Linked DNA regions of Drosophila melanogaster. The protein of the gene in region 1 binds, or shares a complex with, the protein of each later gene. Each region holds a gene or a part of one and is shown on either strand. Other genes may lie near its edges.

Evidence for each region.
Region 2: the proteins of vas (region 1) and gus are in contact, whole or in part, in a crystal structure (PDB 2IHS), measured with the Drosophila melanogaster proteins. Residues at the interface, in NP_001260458.1 of Drosophila melanogaster: Asp184, Ile185, Asn186, Asn187, Asn188, Asn189, Asn190, Val192, Glu193, Asp194, Val195, Glu196; in NP_001246140.1 of Drosophila melanogaster: Ser64, Leu65, Asn66, Arg79, His80, Pro81, Val82, Ala83, Ser85, Asp87, Gly112, Thr113, His127, Tyr131, Val218, Trp219, Gly220, His221.

Annotation. Positions count from the first base shown.
Region 1 is NT_033779.5:15,059,915-15,064,865, forward strand, and holds the start of vas (vasa), read left to right. Parts: upstream 1-1,741; 5' UTR 1,742-1,868; intron 1,869-3,016; exon of another isoform or gene 3,017-4,519; coding exon of another isoform or gene 4,520-4,951. Other genes in the region: TfIIS (RNA polymerase II elongation factor), read right to left, coding at 1-452, 519-584; vig (vasa intronic gene), read right to left, coding at 4,520-4,951. UniProt on the Drosophila melanogaster protein: Involved in translational control mechanisms operating in early stages of oogenesis.
Region 2 is NT_033778.4:5,125,170-5,130,002, reverse strand, and holds the start of gus (gustavus), read left to right. Parts: upstream 1-1,681; 5' UTR 1,682-1,777; intron 1,778-2,479; exon of another isoform or gene 2,480-2,600; intron 2,601-2,660; exon of another isoform or gene 2,661-2,754; intron 2,755-4,833. UniProt on the Drosophila melanogaster protein: Involved in the localization of vas to the posterior pole of the oocyte. Required maternally in the germ line for efficient primordial germ cell formation.

The DNA.
Region 1 (4,951 bases):
CCTTCGGGCACTTCACCAATCTTCAGTGCGGTGGCCAGCATTTCGCGGCATTTGATGCGGACCGCATCTGTCATGCCGCCGGAGGGAAACGAGGTCTGTGACGAGGATGTCGAGCCTTTCTTCTCTTTATCCTTGGATGAGCTGGATGAACTGGACTTATCCTTGCCGGAGATTGACGACGACGACTTGGCGGCACTGGTGGACTTCGAGGCACTGCTGTTGTTGGAGGAGCCCTCCTTAGCGGAGCTGTTGTTCGGTGTGGTTGGCGCCGGGCTGGCGAGGAATCGTTTCCAGTTCTTGATCAGCGTCTTGGCCAGAGCGATCACCTCGTCGTCCTTGCTACTCTTGCGCAGCTCGTTTACGGTCATGCCGATGCGCGTTTTGGTCAGAATGTCGAGATTGATGTTAAGCGTTTGCAGGGCCTTCAGCAGGTCCAGAGCCTGATCCTGTCCCTGTACGGTGGATATATGTATATTTGTGACATGATGCGCGGCACGTTAGCTAATCCCGATACTTACTGTGCCGTCGCTGGCCATCTTGCTCATCTTCTTTTGGATTCGAAACACTTCCTCCTCCACGCTCATTTTGGCCCACTTAATTTGATCAGAGGTTAGGTTAACTGGCGTCGGCTGTCGGCTTTAATCGGTGCTGCGGGTCTGCGACAGTTGTTTATGCGGAAGCCGGGCTATTTCTTTTTTTCCCTCCAATAAATGTTGTTTACTATTTTTTTCGTTTCTGTATTCGCAGAACGAGTTGACAGAACACCCTAACGCGTTTTAGTGTTACCGGGCGGTGGCTTGTCAAGAAATGCCTTCCCATGGCTAATACAATTCCCAACTGGAAGTAGTTTGGGTTTCAGAAGTCAACAGTGTTACCGTATTTTAATGTACATCTGGCTTTTAAGCGAGTACACACACATAGCATTGCGATGTTTTTTAAACTTGCACTGCTTGCAAGCAGGGCTCCACTGTATTTCAATGAAAGAACAGCGTGTTGGGCGTTTTTGAATTATACTAATTACCTTCAATAACAATTCCCTATATATCACTTAGTTTTAATAAATAAATCGTTTGAGTGTGGTCTAGAGATGATGTATTATGATGAAGTGCGGTTGTTGGGGACAAGCGGGATACGTCTGCGGGTCAAATCGGCGGTGGGACATAGTGAGAGGGCAACGGCTCCAAAACCAAGCGTTGCGAACAATCACCAACGCGCCCTGGTACGCGAGAAATGTTGATATCGCACATGACCTCAGCATCCACCTTCAGTTTGAGAACAAATTAAATCAGGCACATACCAGACAACCAGGAGAACACTGAGGAGGCGTCATCAAAGATATCTTTGGACACGTGGCATAAACAAGCCAAACTATTATCTAATCAATATTTTTATACAAATTTTGTATGTTTCCATGTTATCTTCGTTGCTCCTGTTAGTTACTACGTTTCATAGCCCTTAAATTGGTTGCTTAACGTAAAATAAAATTATATTGTATAAAAATAAAGAGGAATTCACCTATAACAAACGAAAAAGTAAATAAATAAGAACTTCCCCATGTTAAAAATGCCACCACCATCTTTACATATAAGTATGTACATATGAATGAATCACTTAGGTTGCTTGAATATTACAATTTCATTAATAGCTAAATCACATTTGATGTGTTAGTGGAAAACGGCTATATATATAAATTATCGAAATTGTGAATATCGAATTGCGATAGCACAATGGGAAATTCCACCACTAGATTTTTGGTACTTTTAACAGATCCTTTTCGGTTTTGCGTTGCGCGAAGTGATCTGAACTTATCAAAGTTTGTAAGGTAATACATAAAGTGAAAAAGAATTAATTTGCTCTTGAAAGGCAGGGTAAGTAGCAAGAGACTATCTTAGTGATATGCAATTAGTTTTGAATCGGATTTAATTTTGCAACATTAAAAATAAGCTCATTAAAACTTGTCTAAATTGACTCGACAAGTTTTTCATTTTCCAATTTTTAAATCCGCAAAATTAAAACCATTTGAAAACGTATTACATATATTATTCCCCTTATCATTTTTAATTCTTCTATTGTAAAAACTATCCCATTTAAATATTAATGTTACACCCATTTTCGTTTTACAATTTTCGAATACTTAAGCTCATTTTGACTTCATTCTTCCATTTTCGGTTATGTTTCAGCGTTGTCGAAGCCCCTTTTTGTACTTCTAACGGATTTTTCTCATATTGTTACACCCATTTTCGTTTTACAATTTTCGAATACTTACTTTTATTAAGCTCCTTTTGACTTCATTCGTTCATTTTCGGTTATGTTTCAGAGTTGTCGAAGCACCTTTTTGTACTTATTACGGATTTTTCTCCTTATTTGACTGTAGCAATTAGAGAGCTTGGCAACCCTAGAACATGAATTCCTAATTTGGTTTCCTCTTTGCGTTCTATTCTAACAGGATCTTGAAAGGTCTAATATAAAAAAAAGATTTTGCGTGTAAAGTTGATTCATTTTTTTAAAAAGAAAATAAGTTGAAAGTAAAAATTGTCCCATTTTCTGGTTATTGGCATCGTATCTTTCTTTCGTGTGCGTTTCTTGATTTACGCTTTGAAATGTTGTCCTATTCGGCTTTCTCATTCTGGGTTATGTCCAATTTTTTTTTTTTTGCTTTTCCGCATATTTGTTGGCTTTTCTGTTCTGTCTATTCTATCTTTCGCCTTGTGTTTGTGTGCAACTTTGTTTTATGTGTTTGCCAATTTGTAACACTTGCATTCCATCTAAAAACTTACCGTTAAAAGTATAAGAACAAGCACAACAAAGAATTCATTCATTGTAGGTTTTCGTGAATAAAATTGAGAATACTGCATTAGATTTGTTTAGGTTTCGTTTCATTCCGTAATTCTTTCCGTCTCCACTTACCATTCGCTTTATGATCTTTTGTAACTCCTCGAATTACATCTTGCTCTTTCATGAACTTTTTCATTCTTTTTTGCCCCAAAATTTTCAAACTTACATCAAGTGTTTTTTTGGTTCTTTATTTTTATCAAATAAATGTTCTTGTTTTATGTTTAAACGAGTTGCTCAACATTTGTTGAATGGTTTCTTTGGGTCAAAATACAATACAATATTTCAAAAAATGTCGTATATTTTTTCATCTACGTTTTCCTCCATATTCATTTGCTCTATCATTTCTTTGCTTTGTGTGTTTGTTTCGCCGTCATAAAATTGATTTTACCATGTATGTACGAATATATATCTCATATAATTTACATAGTTTCTAGTTAATTGTAGGCAAACGATTTTACAGGGATCTTCAAATTAGCGTTTTCGGGAGTGGTTCTCTCATATGACTCGAAATGGATATTTTTGAAAGTTTCCCTCCAACTATAATCTACTTATTAAAGGTTTCTAATTTGCTCCAATAGTTAATCAATATTTTTTGTTTTTATTTCTTTAATAATGCTTAAATTAATATTGTTTTGTTTTTGTATTTCCGTGTGTGTGTGTAAGTTCAGTTAGGTATTTATAATTAAAAGTAGTATATATGATGCATAGTCCTCTGTTTAATTATTAAATTTAAATGTTTAATCATAGAATTTGCATCCAAGAAACACAGTTACAAAGGTTTTAACACTTACTATTCTTTCGGTTTTGGGTTTCTTTCACGATCCACTGATTTTTATATTTCTCCCTTTTGTTTTTCTTTATTTTAAATAAACGTTAACATAGTAAAAATAATAAAGCGTACATTTCGCTACGAAAAGTTGATTCGTAATTGAACAAAAAAATTTATGAGTAATGAAAATGCTTTTACTGTTCTCTCGATGAAAACAAACTATTGTAATAGTGTATTTTTCTTCTTTACAAAGAAGAATTTATCAGGCCGTGATGTTGAATATTATATATTTTATCTTTAGTTTATTTTATTCGCCTTGATCACTGGTTAGCGACTGTAATTTGTTTTTATAAGGTAGGATGATTTTTTGATTAGGTGAGTGGTAATAACATAAAAATAAACAACTTCACATCAGGTTTTGGTTGATGCAATAAAACAATTTCCATGACCGCCCCTGCCGTTTTAGAAAAAATCTCGAAACAAATCTCGTATTGTGAACAGCTACTAGATATAAAGTCCATAATGAGGATAACTTAGCCTGACACTGACTAGTTTACACGAGGTCACTTGCTTGATCGCGATTTTATCGTGTAAAATCTGATTTAGTTGGCCACGTATAAACTAAAATTGCTTTTCGTGTGTTCTCTTTTCATATATCTTTAAACATATGTATAATTTATTATCCGTTTTTTTTTACTTAGCTTGTTGGTTGGTATTTTTGTTGCTTTTGGCTTATAATGGCGGCTACAATTGTTTTCGTAATTTCCCCATTTTTCTTTTAGTTTTTAAAAAGTTTGTTGTCTGTGATATACGTAATTTATAAGTTTTCATTTTGGTAACTTGCTGCTTTCATTCACCATCGTCAGTAACCAAAACTGCAATTTGAGGAACCTACTCCTGCCCAAAACGATCGATTTAAGCCAGAGTGGGAAACTGACGCTCATCGTTGACCTTGGGAGCGGTGTTCTGTTGTCGCTCAAAACGCTTATTCGGCCCTGGACCGCTGTTCTGATTGTTGTTCTGGTTGTTTCCCGGACCGCGACGATCGATGGGTGGCCTTTGATTTTGAGCGGATGAACCGCCGCCCTCGTTATTATGCTGCTGGCCATCCCGTGGGCCACGGTTTCCACCCTCACGATTATCTCGGCCGCCCTCACGATTGCCGCCATCGCGGTTGCCACCCTCGCTGCGTGGTCCGCCTCCAAATCCACCGGGTCTGGGGCCTCCACGGCCACCGCGTCCACCGAAACCGCCAGGTCCGCCACGACGACCATCGTTGAAATTGAACTGAATGTCCAGGACGCGCTGTTGCCTGCCCACACGCTGTGGATAAAGGGCAGGGTCGTA
Region 2 (4,833 bases), on another chromosome or scaffold:
TGACCAGAAACATTGCAGAACTCACAGGTCGCAGGGCTGAGGCTTGAGGCAAGAAGGACAGACCTACACAAATCAGATGTTCTGCTACTTTGCACCTGGTTGACTGACGCATAGCTTGTTACGGCTGCGTCCTGCAACACTGCTCCAGAAACGATGCCATGTTGGAATTGAATTCTTTAAGACTGGTTCTCCAAATGCTGCTCCCATTTCGCCAGACTTTCCGGATCCAGCTTTTGGATAAGTACTTGGGCGATAATTCATCCAACGATTTGTGTCGTTGAGCCCATTCCATTTAGCGCGCGAATATGAGCGTTGAATTTATCACACAGTTTACAAAGCATTGAAACGGAACCATTCTGAACTGCCCTTGCCCTAGAATCTCAGTAATGTGTGCCTGGAATATTAAACAAACAGACAAATTCAATGCTATAGCATAGTTGCCATCCGATATTTCAAGTGCAGTGTCCCTCAGACATGTTCTTAGATGCTGCAACTTTTCTATGTTTGTTAGTTCAGGATGGCTATCTATTATCGTAGTAAACATAGAATAGAAGTCCAGCCAGATAGCTCGCCCAAGAGGGGGCAGCGACGTCCTATGCCGGAGTGCTACTTAATTGAAGTGTTAAAGCTTTAAACAGCTTTGCGAGCTTGTTGCAAATTATTGTTTATTAGCTGTTTTTGAGCAATGAAAAGACGAGTTTTGTGTAGCGATTTTGAACGATATGTTTAATAATAGCCGACATGTAAAAAAGATTTTGTCAAAACTTATACATGAGAAATGTTGTGTAAATTTTTGAGAAATTAATTGAAAAATGGTAACATTAAGGACAGTTGTTGAAATTAGGTACAATATTACCATTTGTAAGCGTATGTAAAACGAGCGGTAGAATAACAGTATATTATCGTATCATACGTTGAACGAACTGAGAGGCAGTTCAGTCGCGTAAAGTCAAAGCCAAGAATGTAGAAGGAAGCACATTGCCGCGCGGAGTCGCAATAAACAATCGGATGTCATCAAAAAAAGTGCAACCTGCAAAAACAATATATGGCAGTTAAGCATCTAATTATTCTTTATTATTCTTTGAACGAGCCGTATTCGGTAAGGAGAACCCGGTTTTCAATTAATAACGCCGAGTAAAATAAACTGTTTTAGTTATTTTATATTTATATTTTTTTATTTACCCGTTATTCAGCTAATGCCAGCTTTTGGCATAAATATTAATAAAATGAAAAATTGTTTGGCAGTTTAGGCGTAATGCGACAGTAGGTAAAATGTGCCTGTCATACCGTAAAAACAAGCGAGACAGATAATTGTTTTTATGAATTATTACAGTTTTTTGGTTTGGGTAAACCAAAAATTTGCAATTGTAAACTTATCAAGTTACTTTTACGCATGGGGTCAATCAGATACCTTTAATTTAAAAAATTGTAATATGGTGATAAAATGAATAACTTCATTTAAAAAGATTTTAAAATTTGTTTAATTTACATTATGTTGTGCTAAATCTTGAAACGGCTTGACTTAGAAAGTCTTTACCAAACTTCGGTCTTTGAAGTTAAATTAAATTATATAATTTCGAAGAAATTATTAGTCTTTTCCAAAATCCCACTCATTCCGCACATGACAAAAATCGTTACATGTCACAACACTGTTGATGTACGGTATAAGTGGATATACAAACAAATGAATGTTTTGTGCATCAAAGGTTCCTGAGTGATATTTTGCTTTATGTGTTGTTTTATTTTAATCATAGCAAATCGACAAGATAAAAGTAATGTAAGTTTCACAGGAACTGATAAATGAAATTCACACATATCTAACGTGGGAATTGATCAATTAATTATAAATATGGAATGTAAGAACATATGTATGTTCATATTTATAAACGTTAATCAGATAAAAATTTGAGATATGTGATAAAAATAATTATATGTGAAAACTTATCTGTACATATTGAACTTCATGTATTCAATCTCCTTGGATTGAATTTGTATGAGCGTACAAAAACACTATAAGAATATTAATTAGGAGTGAATCTGATATCACCAAAAATACATACATACGTAATTGCATACAATCTTAAAGATTTGTTGGAGAATATATTATAGGGAAGGAAGCGTTTCCCTAATGCATAAAGTATTTAAGCATATGTATATAAATAACTATATTATTGATCAGGATTACTAGACAAGTCGATCTGGCCATGGGCTTGCTTCAGTTATATGATTTTCGAATTTTTTTTTTATGAATAGTTCGTCGGTGCTGTAGCAACTTTTCATTTATTTTCTATTAACTTTAACAGTAAAGTTGAATCAATACGAAATTTTGGTTAGTATAAAAATTACATTTAAACCAAGACTGCATCACTACTTTTCTTTTAAAAGGTAATATGCAGGCTTAACTCAATGAAGGCGGCGCAAGCCGCTTTTACACTAGCATATTGTTAATTCACACAATGTAAAGTTTACTTTAACTTACTTCACTACATCCTTTAGTCATTCAGACTATACGCTATTTGTTATACTCGTTATACCCGTAGAGTAACAGGGTTCCTAGATCCGTTGAAAACTATGTAGCAGGAGGAAGGAAGCGTTTCCGACTATATAAAGTATATACAAACATATGTAAATACATATATTCTTGATCGAGACAATCTGACCATGTCCGTCTGTCCATATCAGCATCAAGATCAGCCAAAATGTTGAGATTCAGCATACAGATTCTAAAAACATAGACGCAGCGCAAGTTTGTGACCCATGTTGCCACGCAAACTCTAACGCCCACACACCACACAAAACTGTCAAGCCCACACTTTTAAAAAATGTGTTGATATTTTTTCACATTTTTTTTAGTCTTGTAAATTTCTATCGATTTACAAAAAAAAAATTTCTAACGCCCTTAAACCGCCAAAAACTGCCACGCCCACATTTTTGAACAAATTTCTGGATATTTTTCAATAATTTAATTAGTCTTGTAAATTTGTATCGATATGCCAAAAAACTTTTTGCCACGCCTAATCTAACGCCCTAAAACTTCCCCAAACTGTCACGCCCACACTTTAAAAAAATGTTTAGATTTTTTTTCATTTTTGTTTGTCTTGCCAATTTTTTATCGGTATACCAAAAACACCGTAACCACGCCTCCCCTTTTACCAACAAAACGGTCACGCCCACACTTTTAAACCATTTTTAAATCCTTTTTATTTTATCTTTATCTATCGATATCCCAAAAAATGTATGCAATTTTACGTTCGACTACAGCATTCTGTTTTGTTTTTCTCTCGATTTTTTGGTGCTGGCTCTAGAGATGGCTCCAGGCTCTCTCGAATGTTTGTTTAAGAGCCAGAGTGCGGAAAGATATACAGCCAGCTGCCCTCTTCGGCTGTCACTGTATGCGTAAGAATAAAGGAGACAATGATTGTTGGGTGCTTATGTTCGCACTTCGTGTCTCAAGAAATCATTTTTGCAATAAACAGTCAACGTATTTTTATATATTGTATATACAGTTTGTCAAGAAACTGTTTACACACTGTGAAATAAGTTGAATTTTTGACCTTAAAGGTAAAAATGTTCAAACGCTATTTTTTTATGAAATATATTTTTGTTTTACTTATAAATCAAAAAACAAATTATAAATATTAAATATAAAGAAAAGAATTTTGAGACTGTCAAGAAACTCTACGTTTTCTTTATGTGTTTAATGTATGTATGTATGTTTTTATTATTATTTAGAAATTTATTTTTTGAAATGTAATTTTTTTTTTAAATATTTCACATTGCAACTTTAAAAATTGATGTCGCAAAAGATGTCGTCAGTCCCGTTTTACATATTATTAATTATAAACACAAATTAAGATATGAAACATTTATATGAAACACTTTAAAAATCTAATAGTCAAGGCATACATGTTTAAATATTATTTGAGTAGATCATTTTGCAACGAAATTGCCCGAAACTCTAAATATGTTATATCGGATCTTAGATCAAAATTGATTTCTGCCCGAAAATCGTCTTCTAGCACAAGTACGCACACATACAAACATTCTCCAAAGACGCTAGTTATTCTAGTGTCTTTGCTTTCTCGTTTATTCTTTTAGCACACACAAGCAAGTGTATTATTTTTTTCGATTTTATACCGCTCTCAATTTTACTCAAGCGGAGAGAGAGCAATTTTGACCGTCAACAAAAAAGTGGCTGCATAGTGCAAAACCAATGAATGGCCGTTACGCATCTTGTAATTCTATTGTCTTTGCTTTAACTCGGTCTGTGAAATCAAAACAATAAGGAATTCAATAAGACAACTAGCTGTACAAGCTTTAGGAATGATACGAATAAAAGTGGTTGGCACGCTTTAAATAGCTTTTATGTCGAAATTTTTTTTTTTCGATTTTCCTTTTACTTGAAATCGATCGATACGCTAACTAAGTTTTGAAATATCTTCTTGCCTCGCATCTAAATATCGGATTCCTGGTTGTCTTGATAATCTGTGATTGTTCTGATTATTATATGATTAATATAATACTATATATATATATATATATATATATATACAGTATTGCTAGTATGTTTTCACATTAGTAAAAAAATATATCTTCATAATGTACTACCATAAGTAATAAATATTCAAATTTGCTTATATTCGATTCTTAAGTTTGAAAGCATTGGAAAAACAGTTTATATAAAACACGAAAAGAGACAGAAAAGAATCGCGTGGCGTTTTTGTTTCGCATGCTATATTAAGTCGTAAAGATCGATAAAGTTTTCTTGTGTATTATAAATTTTGTGGCTGTTTTCAAATTATGGTTTGTATTTTGCAAGTAAGTAACAATATA